Linked DNA regions of Xenopus tropicalis. Each later gene encodes a partner of the first gene's protein in a complex. Links are inferred from orthologs where the notes say so. Each region holds a gene or a part of one and is shown on either strand. Other genes may lie near its edges.

Evidence for each region.
Region 2: the proteins of sos1 (region 1) and krasl are in contact, whole or in part, in a crystal structure (PDB 8BE4), measured with the Homo sapiens proteins. The link is inferred for Xenopus tropicalis from reciprocal best matches to the Homo sapiens genes SOS1 and KRAS. Residues at the interface, in NP_005624.2 of Homo sapiens: Lys602, Trp809, Thr810, Lys814, Leu822, Met824, Ile825, Arg826, Thr828, Thr829, Thr832, Leu833, Leu872, Val875, Ser876, Asn879, Ser880, Ser881, Pro882, Tyr884, Ser908, Asp910, His911, Tyr912, Lys913, Phe929, Phe930, Gly931, Ile932, Leu934; in NP_001356715.1 of Homo sapiens: Ser17, Ala18, Ile21, Gln25, Asp30, Glu31, Tyr32, Pro34, Thr35, Glu37, Tyr40, Asp54, Ile55, Leu56, Asp57, Thr58, Ala59, Gly60, Gln61, Glu63, Tyr64, Ser65, Ala66, Met67, Arg68, Asp69, Gln70, Tyr71, Arg73, His95.
Region 3: the proteins of sos1 (region 1) and hras are in contact, whole or in part, in a crystal structure (PDB 4NYM), measured with the Homo sapiens proteins. The link is inferred for Xenopus tropicalis from reciprocal best matches to the Homo sapiens genes SOS1 and HRAS. Residues at the interface, in NP_005624.2 of Homo sapiens: Glu589, Lys602, Trp809, Thr810, Lys814, Leu822, Met824, Ile825, Arg826, Thr828, Thr829, Thr832, Glu836, Asn869, Leu872, Val875, Ser876, Asn879, Ser880, Ser881, Tyr884, Ser908, Asp910, His911, Tyr912, Lys913, Leu916, Phe929, Phe930, Gly931; in NP_001123914.1 of Homo sapiens: Gly13, Gly15, Ser17, Ala18, Thr20, Ile21, Gln25, Asp30, Glu31, Tyr32, Asp33, Pro34, Thr35, Glu37, Tyr40, Arg41, Asp54, Ile55, Leu56, Asp57, Thr58, Ala59, Gly60, Gln61, Glu63, Tyr64, Ser65, Ala66, Met67, Arg68.

What each region holds. Positions count from the first base shown.
Region 1 is NC_030681.2:42,937,912-42,941,562, forward strand, and holds part of sos1 (son of sevenless homolog 1), read left to right. Parts: intron 1-1,704; coding exon 1,705-1,832; intron 1,833-3,418; coding exon 3,419-3,651.
Region 2 is NC_030679.2:2,105,904-2,109,654, reverse strand, and holds the start of krasl (GTPase KRas), read left to right. Parts: upstream 1-1,306; 5' UTR 1,307-1,446; intron 1,447-3,751. UniProt on the Homo sapiens protein: Ras proteins bind GDP/GTP and possess intrinsic GTPase activity. Plays an important role in the regulation of cell proliferation.
Region 3 is NC_030680.2:34,323,974-34,327,724, reverse strand, and holds the start of hras (GTPase HRas), read left to right. Parts: upstream 1-1,218; 5' UTR 1,219-1,330; intron 1,331-3,751. UniProt on the Homo sapiens protein: Involved in the activation of Ras protein signal transduction. Ras proteins bind GDP/GTP and possess intrinsic GTPase activity.

The DNA.
Region 1 (3,651 bases):
CATTAAAAGCTACAGAGCTTCAGGGCTCATTATTAAATTCTGATGCAAAATGCGCTGGTGTCGGAAATTACATATAATACAGTTATGAGTGAATTATTAATCAGGCTTGCATTGTAACTTGTATATTATATTTACACACTCACGCATATTGCAAGTCGGTCCCTAAGCTCAGATAACTGTCAGCAGAACAGAGCATGTACACTGAATCAAGAAATTGACAAGCAACTGGGGCATCTTTGGAGACACCGATCTTCCCTGCTAAAGGGCTGTGGTTGCCTTGGGCTGGTACAGAAGCCCAAAACATAATGGGCAGCATTTCTTCCCTACTTCTTTGTTAAGCTTTAGTTCCTATTTAAAGCATTACAGTAATTTTCCAAGCCTCTGAAAAAAATGTCCAGATATAGTTTAATGATATATGGGGATGAATGTGATTTGTAAACTAAAAGTGCTTGAGGTCTTTCTGGAGTTGAAAAAAAATGGTTGTAGCACAGTCAAAAAATAATAAATACATTTTAATTATAGAAAAAGCATACATAAAACCAAAATTAACAAAAAACATGTGTTGGTTACAGATAAATTCAAAATAGAAGTTTACAATATTCATACCATACCAAATGACAAAGTGCATCCTAGTGCCAAATAGTCCCCAGGCTCCTTCCAATGCATTTTATGCCATTGGGTGCTTTATCAGAAGAGGAACAGAGAAACAAACAGGATGTCTTAGACATGCAAACCCTACTATCTGTGACAAGATTTTAGACCTTGTGTAATGTTTAATACATTAAACATAAAAAAGAAAGGAAAAAAAAATACCCATGATAATGTAATACTTGGAAACTAAATTCACCCTCAAAGACATATTGGCATCTTTTTTTTTTTTTTTCCTGTTACTTTTTTCTGGTAAGCTTATTTATTTATTTTGGCGATAACATACTAAGAAAAAAAAAAACGAATTGGTTCCAGGATGCACTTTAGTGATTTTATCAAGACTGCAGGTTTTTCAGGGCCAAATCAGGCTGATCCAATTGTTCGGCCCCCAGGCCAACAATCAGTTCATAACCGTATGTAGGCCTGTCAGGAGAAGACCATATTAATGCACCAATGCACCCATATATTGTCAGGGAGGTTGTGGAAAAGGGCCCATACACAGACAAGCTGCTGACTTGATCTTAGGCTAATGCCAGACGAGGCGTAGGGCGGATATTTTCAGCAAGCGGAAAAGCGCTTGCAGAAAATTCCGCCCTCCGCCTCCTACATGTGCCTGCACCCGAATGAATGAGATACTTTTGCATTATCTCACGTTTTCATGTGTATATCAGCTACATGTGCCTGCATCCGAGCGTATCTCATTCATTTGGGTGCAGGAACATGTAGGAGGAGTAGGACGGAATTTTCAGCAAGCACTTTTCTGCTTGCGGAAAATATCCGCCCTACGCCTCGTCTGGCATTAGCCTAAAGGGCCTTGGGTCTGTAAGTAATCGCTGTTTGTTGGCCATAGTAAACTAAAAGGGTTCATTTCTGATGTCCAAATGCTAAAGTGGTGATTATTTCTCTTATTTTCGCTACATTTATATTATTAGCCCTGGTCCCTTAAAAGAGTAAAGGGACTAATTAATTACGTTTGTTAAAGTAAGATTGTTTTCTACATTGTTAAAATGTGTGCAATGCTCTAAGAAATTCACCCAACTTATTCTTAAATCTCAGCAATTAGAAGAAAAGAGTGAGGATGAGGAAGATAAAGAATGTTTAAAGCAGTCAATAACTGCTCTACTAAACCTTCAGAGCAGCATGGAAAGAATATGTTCCAAGAGCCTTGCTAAGAGGCGACTCAGGTAAATCCATGTTATAGGTAACCATTGGTACAAACTGCAATAATCCAAATGTTTGTGCAAATTCAGAATATTATTCTGACTGCATTATTGTAGACACAGAAATTCAACATTATGTAATAGTAGCACTTGACTGTGGTGTGATGACATCATATGGGTTGCTAAGCATGTATTCTGAGGACTTAACAAATTAGGAGCAAGTTATTTCCTCTGGGACCCCCAGGTTCAAGTTACACCTTTCGTGAGAGCAGGTGGTATTTTGATATGTTAACGATAAGCAAAATAGTGCTATTTTTGTACTGAAATTATTATATATATCTAAATGCAGAGTAAAAATTGTCTAGAAAAAAGTTAATCTAATTCTCAATACTGACTCCATTTAACATTATACAACAAGCTGTAAAGATTTTCTTATGGTATACATAGCTTTGTGTTTCTGTTTAATGGTCACTACTTATTCAGGATCATAATCAGTAAGCAATGCAAAACATTTTTGGGGTGCTCTCTATATTTTTTTTAATGCAACAAATTAAAGTTACCATTTAGTAGTGTTCAGGGAGTTGCAAAACAATGCTGCTTTTTGCTGTTTCTACAGTACAGTGGGACAGTCTGATACATTTCCCCCCTTGTGTCAAGTGATTTTGGAAGCAATTCAAAATGGGAGTGGTTTTTGCCTTTATGTTTTTAAAGGAAGTGACATTAAGGCACACAGTGTGTGTTATTGTTTAAAAACCTCTCATAGTTTGCTCCATTTGCAAGCTGTAACGTAGGACATTCCTGCACAGCCGTCAAGCGTCATTACTGGACACTTCTTTCAGGTTTGATCAATATTGCAAGAATAATGTGAATATTTCCATGCATTGGCTGTCTGTCTGCTATTAAGGCCTTAATTCTTTTCATTAATATTTCTTTAGTAGTTTACAGTGGGGTCAGAGACCTAGCTCTTAAATATGCCTAAGTTTTAGTTTGAGTCATATTAGGGTGGATGTTTACTAACAAATAATTTTTACAGACAAAGAAATACTTTGGTATTTCTTTTATATGGGCAATTTAGATAATTACTGATCTTGATTTGTATATTTTCTAGTAGAACCTGAGAAGTAAAAAGGATGGTAATTTATCTTTCTAGCTGTCCTTTTTTTCCTGCATTCAATAGTCTCCAGAGTATGTTATATTATGTTGTATGTAAATGCAACAATTCTTTCAGGAACTGTTGCTTGAAGATTCCTACTAAATTTTTAACTTACCATCTGTCAGATAGACTTGTAAGGACAAAACACTGCATATTTGTGGTGGCGCAACTTCAGAAAACCGTAGTGATGCATAGGCCTTTCTACCGGCGATCCCTTTGTTGCTGTTGGAAAGGCATTTCAGAGAGATTAGTTGCCTGTGGTAGCAGAGATCTATTGCAGGCAGCTAATCTCTCCACAGGACATTCCCTAACCCGTTATTCTTGCCAGATCCAATATAACAAGCAAAACAGTTGGAACTGTATCATAAAAGCATAATTCAGGGTAAACCTTATTTATTTTTGTCATCAAGCAGCCACATATGATAATCCTTTTTTGTCTTTTCTTTTTTTCATACAGTGAATCTGCATGTCGATTTTATAGTCAGCAAATGAAGGGGAAACAACTAGCTATTAAGAAAATGAATGAAATTCAAAAGAACATTGATGGATGGGAGGGAAAAGACATTGGGCAGTGCTGTAACGAATTCATCATGGAGGGAGCCTTAACACGTGTTGGGGCTAAACACGAAAGACACATATTCCTATTTGATGGTTTGATGATCTGTTGCAAGTCAAATCATGGACAGCCAA
Region 2 (3,751 bases), on another chromosome or scaffold:
TTATTCCTTATCTTTCTATTCAGCCCCTCTCCTATTCATATTCCTGTCTCTCATTGCAACTCTACCTTAGCAAGTCCCCGGTTTCTAAGGTAATTTGGACCCTAGCAACCAGATAGCTGCTAAAATTCCAAACTGGAGAGCCGCTGAACAAAATGTAAAATAATTAAAAACTACAAATAATAAAAAATGAAGACCAATTGCAAATTGTCTCAGAATATCACTCTCTACATCATAAGTTAACTCAAAGGTCTATTCTTAGCAACTTTTCAGTTGGTCTTCATTATTTATTTCTTATAATTTTTGAATTCTGTGACTCTTTGCAGCTTTCAAATGGGGGTCACTGACCCCGGCAGCCAAACCCTATTGCTCTGTGAGGCTCCAGTTTTATTGTTATTGTTACTTTTTATTCCTTATCTTTCTATTCAGCCCCTCCCCTATTCATATACCAGTCTCTCATCCCTGGTTGCCAAGGTAATTTGGACCCTAGCAACAGGATAACTGACCCCGGCAGCCAAAACCTATTGTTCTGTGAGGCTCCAGTTTTATTGTTATTGTTACTTTTTATTCCTTATCTTTCTATTCGGCCCCTCCCCTATTCATATTCCAGTCTCTCATTCATACCACTCGCTGGTTGCTAGGGTAACTTGGACCCTAGCAACCAAACCCTATTGCTCTGTGAGGCTCCAGTTTTATTGTTACTGTTACTTTTTATTCCTTATCTTTCTATTCAGCCCCTCCCCTATTCATATTCCTGTCTCTCATTCATACCACTCCCTGGTTGCTAAGGTAATTGGAGCCCTAGCAGCCAGATAGCAGTGGAACGGGAGAGCTGCCGAACAAGAATTGAAATAATTAAAAAACTACAAATAATAAAAAATGAAGACCAATTGCAAATGAGTATTTTCTCTGCAGTTTACCACCCTGCTTCCAAATGAATAGGGAAAATAGTATTTACTACTTTATCCGCCACTTTCTCTCTTTCAGTACTTGATTAAATGATAGACAATTACAAGTTTTCACACACACGGACAGACAGTATGGCAGCTTCACTGCTCTCAGGGTTAAAGATCTGAGCGTTACGTCATGGCATTTCCTGCAGACGAATTATCAGGCTTACTTGCCCTTTACTCAATAGTAACCAGGACACCACGCCCCTCGGCCCGTACGTCACACCAGGGGGGCGGTACCATCGGGGAGTAGCCTAGCGTTCGGGGCGGGGCGCTTTCATTTGCATTCCGCCTTCAGCCAATGAGGGAGGCCAAATCGCTCTGACGTCACCGGCGAATCCCCGTTGTATTTATAGCTCGTATTTAAAGAGCCCCTGGGAGTCTCCGGCCCAGGCCTGTGTGTGCGGGACCGGCAGCGCCGCCTTCTCTCTCTGCTCCAGCCCGGGCCCCATCCCCAGGGGGAAGCATGCAGCCGTGAGCCCCAGCCGCCAGCATACCGGTGAGTGAGTGCGGCCCGGGGGGTACAATGCCTGGCTAGTTACCCCAGCGGGGGGTATGTGGGTACTAAGCCTTGGGGGTTAACTGCAGCCGGGGGCTGGTATTTGGCCTTCTCTCTGGGTAACTGGCCGGTTACAATTTGCCCCCCACCCCGGGGTATAAGGATCTCCTGATCCCCCTCAGCTACCCCACCGTGGGGCTAATTGGCTTCTGATTCTCTCTATCTGCCCCTTGCGGGTAACTACTCATCCTTCCTGGGCCCATGGGTGTAACTGCTATATTTACCCCCGGCCGGTAGTTGCTTTGGGCCCTTTATTCCTGCCCCTAGCGATCCCCTATATTTACCCCACCAGGGGTATTACTGCCTCCTGATCTGTTCTCTCTGTATTGTACCCCTTGGGGCAAGTGGCTGCTGGTCCCTTTCTTCCTACCCCCCCTGCCTTCCCTTGCTTTACCCACTGATCCCAAGGGGATCCCCATTCTGCCCCCCAGGGGTTTATTCCTTTCTCCCATTCTGCCCCCCAGGGGTTTATTCCTTTCTCCCATTCTGCCCCCCAGGGGTTTATTCCTTTCTCCCATTCTGCCCCCCAGGGGTTTATTCCTTTCTCCCATTCTGCCCCCCAGGGGTTCATCCTTTCTCCCATTCTGCCCCCCGAGGGGTTTATTCCTTTCTCCCATTCTGCCCCCCGAGGGGTTTATTCCTTTCTCCCATTCTGCCCCCCGAGGGGTTTATTCCTTTCTCCCATTCTGCCCCCCGAGGGGTTTATTCCTTTCTCCCATTCTGCCCCCCCAGGGGTTTATTCCTTTCTCCCATTCTGCCCCCTACCCCTGTGGCTTTCCTCTTTCTCCCATTCTGCCCCTCTTGGGGCTTTATTCCTCTCTCTCCCATTCTGCCCCTCTTGGGGCTTTATTCCTCTCTCTCCCATTCTGCCCCTCTTGGGGCTTTATTCCTCTCTCTCCCATTCTGCCCCTCTTGGGGCTTTATTCCTCTCTCTCCCATTCTGCCCCCCTTGGGGCTTTATTCCTCTCTCTCCCATTCTGCCCCCCTTGGGGCTTTATTCCTCTCTCTCCCATTCTGCCCCCCTTGGGGCTTTATTCCTCTCTCTCCCATTCTGCCCCCCTTGGGGCTTTATTCCTCTCTCTCCCATTCTGCCCCCCTGCTTTGATTGGTCTCTGTCTACTTGTGCCCCATTTGTCTCTTTTTTCAGCTTATTGGGGTACTGCGTTTAGGGGTAATTCCCTGGGACCACAATTACCCCCCCCCCCCCCCAGGATGTGTTGTCTTTGTCCGTTATACTTCTTTACAGGGTCTCTAGGGAATGCCCCCTGCAGTTCTTTGGGCCTATTTTTGACTCCTAGTCCCCCCCCCCCCCCCCCAACCACAAGAATAGGACTTTAATATTTAAGGTGCTAAAAGGGTAAATACCCCTAGTTTGTCGGTATAGGGGCATCAGTAATGTTCTGTATAGAGAAATGGGGGACGGGTTACATATCCCCCTCTGTTTCTACTGGGGGTCACATGACTTCATCTGTGGCCCTTAATACATGGAGGACGAAGGGCCTGAAATTGCCACTGAACTAAAGCAGAGGGGTAAATTAATTGCCTACTATTCTGTACCAGAGGGCAGATATCCTATCTGATCCCCCCATTGTAAGCAGCAGTCCTGCCCTGCTTTATGGCTGAGATTCTAGCTATCTGTATAACAGAGCATTCTGTCACAGTGGCACAGATCCTATCTGATCCCCCCATTGTAAGCAGCAGTCCTGCCCTGCTTTATGGCTGAGATTCTAGCTATCTGTATAACAGAGCATTCTGTCACAGTGGCACAGATCCTATCTGATCCCCCATTGTAAGCAGCAGTCCTGCCCTGCTTTATGGCTGAGATTCTAGCTATCTGTATAACAGAGCATTCTGTCACAGTGGCACAGATCCTATCTGATCCCCCCCATTGTAAGCAGCAGTCCTGCCCTGCTTTATGGCTGAGATTCTAGCTATCTGTATAACAGAGCATTCTGTCACAGTGGCACAGATCCTATCTGATCCCCCCATTGTAAGCAGCAGTCCTGCCCTGCTTTATGGCTGAGATTCTAGCTATCTGTATAACAGAGCATTCTGTCACAGTGGCACAGATCCTATCTGATCCCCCCATTGTAAGCAGCAGTCCTGCCCTGCTTTATGGCTGAGATTCTAGCTATCTGTATAACAGAGCATTCTGTCACAGTGGCACAGATCCTATCTGATCCCCCCATTGTAAGCAGCAGTCCTGCCCTGCTTTATGGCTGAGATTCTAGCTATCTGTATAACA
Region 3 (3,751 bases), on another chromosome or scaffold:
CTCCCTGACCTATGCTGGCTGTATGTGCCATACTCTGCCTTCCCTATGCTGCCTGTGTGTGCCATACTCTGCCTGCCCTACCCTTCCTGTGTGTGCCATACCCTCCCTGCCCTATGCTGCCTGTGTGTGCCATACCCTCCTTGCCCTATGCTGGCTGTATGTGCCATACTCTGCCTACAGTACCATGTCTGAGGTGTGAAGAAGTGAACAATGGGAGTGACTACAGTCTGAGCCTGAGGTGTGAACACTGCAGGGGTTGAACAATGCAGAGATTAAAAGGTGTGAACAACACAGGGGATTACATGTTTAAACAATACAGGGGGATTACAGCCTGAATCTGAGGTGAGAACCATGCAGGGGGGCCAGTTAATCACAGTACTGATACCATTTAAATCTTACACAAAGGTAAGCCATCAAAGCAGCCAGACAGGTGGGGGGCCACACAGATGGGGGTCGTGGGCCGCCAGTTGGACAGCACTGAGCTAATGGAATGGCCCAAACAAGCTATTGCAGGCCAGCAGTAAAGTTACACTACTTTACATGATATTACACAGGCAAAAGCCAACACTCTGGAGCTCATTTATTAACGCCGATTGCAGAATGCAAAAATCAGCACACTTTAAAAAAAAAAAAAAATGCAAAATTCCTTCCCACAATTCAGAGCATAATTGCAAAACTGCGCGCCAGACGCTGTAAAGGCATACATCGGCACCGGGTAGTAAAATGCGCCCAAGTGGGCAAGTTACCCCTGTGAGATACAGAGCAGCACATGGGTAGACATTAACAATTCTATAAGCGCATTATTCTTAGGAGTCCAGCAGTCATAAACAAACCTTTGTAACGCAACGCTAGCGCAAACACCACATAAAAACGCAAAACTTGTAAATGTACTAAATGAATGAATCCGTTTCCCTATGGGTCCCCTTCCCCGACTCCAACTAATAACAAACCCAAGGGATGCCCTTCCCGCCTAAGTCCTTCCTCCTCGGCCAATCACAACTTGAAGGCACTCTTGATTGACTGCATTGGGGGCGTGGTTTTTAGTAGCTCTCTGGGCGTGGGCTGCCCACATTGTTCCTGAGCGGTGAATGCAGCAGCTGCATAGAGAGCAACGCCCAAGCCGCCCATTCATCTGCTCCCTGCTGCTCTGCTTGTATGTGCTCAGCTCACATAGCGGCACCGGGCAGCGCCACACATTGCCTGCTGAAAGATCTGTTGCTCTTCGCAAAAATTGCGCCTTTTGCCCTAATGCTTGATCTAGGTATTATGTTCTATGCGAGGGAGAGCAGCTGACTTTAATGTGGGGGGGATCACCTGCTACAGTCCTGCGGTAAGTAGCTGCGATCGCTGGGCGTTCCTGATTGGGTCTTTGGTTTCCTGTTGCAGGGGCTGCAGAAATGATTTTCCTATTTATTCTTATATATACAAACGGGGGTGGGATATTGTAATAGTTGAAGCTGGGTTTTTGTTTCAGTTTTGCTATGCTGTTTGCTGTATTAGAGAAGGAAAGTTGCCAACACTATTTATGGGAACTTTAATTGGGGCAAATAACTGTGGTGCTAGCCCTTTTCCCTTCCCAGCTGCAGTCTTGTAAATCAACCCACTTGTTAGTATGGTTCTGCCGCCCCCTGCGGAGTAATGAGTTGATGATGTTATTGATTGATGTGATTCTGGGCTTACCAAGCTGTGACCCTGTTGTTGAACTACAGCTGGGTGCCAGCACCCTCCCAATAGGTTTAGGTTGAACATCTCTGAGGTATGTGCTAAAGCAACATTTTTCCTCCAAGGGGATTTTTTAAATCTGGGGTCCCAGGGCTAATTCCGTGCCATCTCTGTCATGCCCTAATACAGTGGATGTTTAGTAGTGCCAGCCCAGGATAGGACATTAACATTGGAATTTAGGCTGGTGCCTATTGCCATACTTTGCCCAGTCTGCCGTTATATGGGCAGGAATTGAAATGATGGGAAGGCTATTATGACTGGTACATTCCTTGTTCTATTAATAAAAGGAAATCTGATTGTGAGCTCTTGCACCAAGATAATCACTGTCAGGACTGTGGTAAAAGAGGAATTTTGACCAATGCACTCATCTCAGGGAGAACATGGGAATCAATTACATATTAGAATGATGTCGAAAGCAGAATTCTAAGACAATTTGCCATTGATCTTCATTTTTATTTTTTTTTTTTGTGGTTTTTGAATCATTTACATTATTTTCTGCAGCTCTTGACTGCTATCTGGTTTCTAGGCATTAATCACCCTAGCAACCAGTTTTGAAGCCAACATGGATTAGGAGAGGACCTGAAAAGAAAAATAAGCAATAACATATAAGAATCACAATAACATTCAGCTTCACCAATTACTGAAGGGACCCCCCCAGACCCCTGCAACACAGCACAGCCCTGTTGGGTATGGGATGTTGCTCTCTCATTGTCCTTGGCTGACCCTGGCTACTTGCCTGTAACAAACCTCCTCTGAGCTCTATTGATGCTACCAAGGAGCCTATGCTGGAACGATATGTCACAGGCTGAAATATTGATGGGATGACGATAATGCAATTAAGGAGAATTTGCTTTTTGAGGTCTCTCTAGGCTTTCCAGTGTTTTGTTCATATTGCTATGGGGGAGGGTCTTATGTCAATAACAGAGCAGTTCTCTAAGGTTTCTGCTGCCGCATCTCTTGCTGTGTGATGTCATGTACCTACCTGTTGGCTGCTGATTCATTGCTGTGCCTCCCGGTACATTGCAGAGCCACAGCGTAGAGCAATAGAAAAGCAAACTGGGATATTTCCAATATTACCAATATTAGTGCACTGGGCGGGACCCAAGGCCAGCAGCTGCATGGGGATTCAGAGAAAAGAGTAAGAGGCAGCAAGCAGGCCCAGCCCCAGAGAAACTTCCACACCTGAGAGTCACCAGTCATATGGTAAAAAAATCAGAAATATTGTGGCTACAGGTAGGAAGATTGTCTGTGGTTTTTAAGTTATATGTGAATGTATCTGCTATTTAGCCAGTAATTTCCAGACTAACTTCTGCTACATTGTTTCAGGAGTCAGAACCAGAATTGCAGTGAATGTAAACAGCCAGTCAGATGCTGCTTTTTAAATTTACAAACAATTGAACATGTTTAATGTGTATTGGAAAGATGTGTTACTGCATATTCTCTTTCATTATTCAAAAAAAGCACTTTCTGGTTAGACTTTATGTATTAAGCTAAATTCACATTATGATACATCTGCCCCCTAGTTTTTTTTTTTTTTTTTTTCAGCAGGATTTGGATATTACTTGTGTGCCATATTACTTGTATGAACTGTTTCCTACACCACTCCCTTTAGGCTCACAGTGTAATGAAACACTTCCCTTAAAATCCCTCTGCTTATCATAGTGGGAGTTTCACAGATAGTGGGTGGTTCACAGATTCTCTTGAAAGCAGAGGGACGTCAAGTCCCAGAAATCCATCACTTCAGTGATTTAAGTGGAACAAGGTGATGGTGGGGTGAGATCTGCTGAATGTAAAGTGAAATTATAAAAAAAACATAAAAAATGAGGACCAACTGCAAATTTTCTTTCTTAGTATAATTTACAGGGTAATATTCAAAGTTAATTTAAAGGTGAACTATCCCTCTACTGCCCGCTCATGGGCTGATTATTTTTTATTATACTCTTTGCTGATTGGTTGGATATTGTACCATGTGGCTACACAAACAAATGGCAACTGCACTGATTCACAATCGCCCCCCCCCCCATCCCCA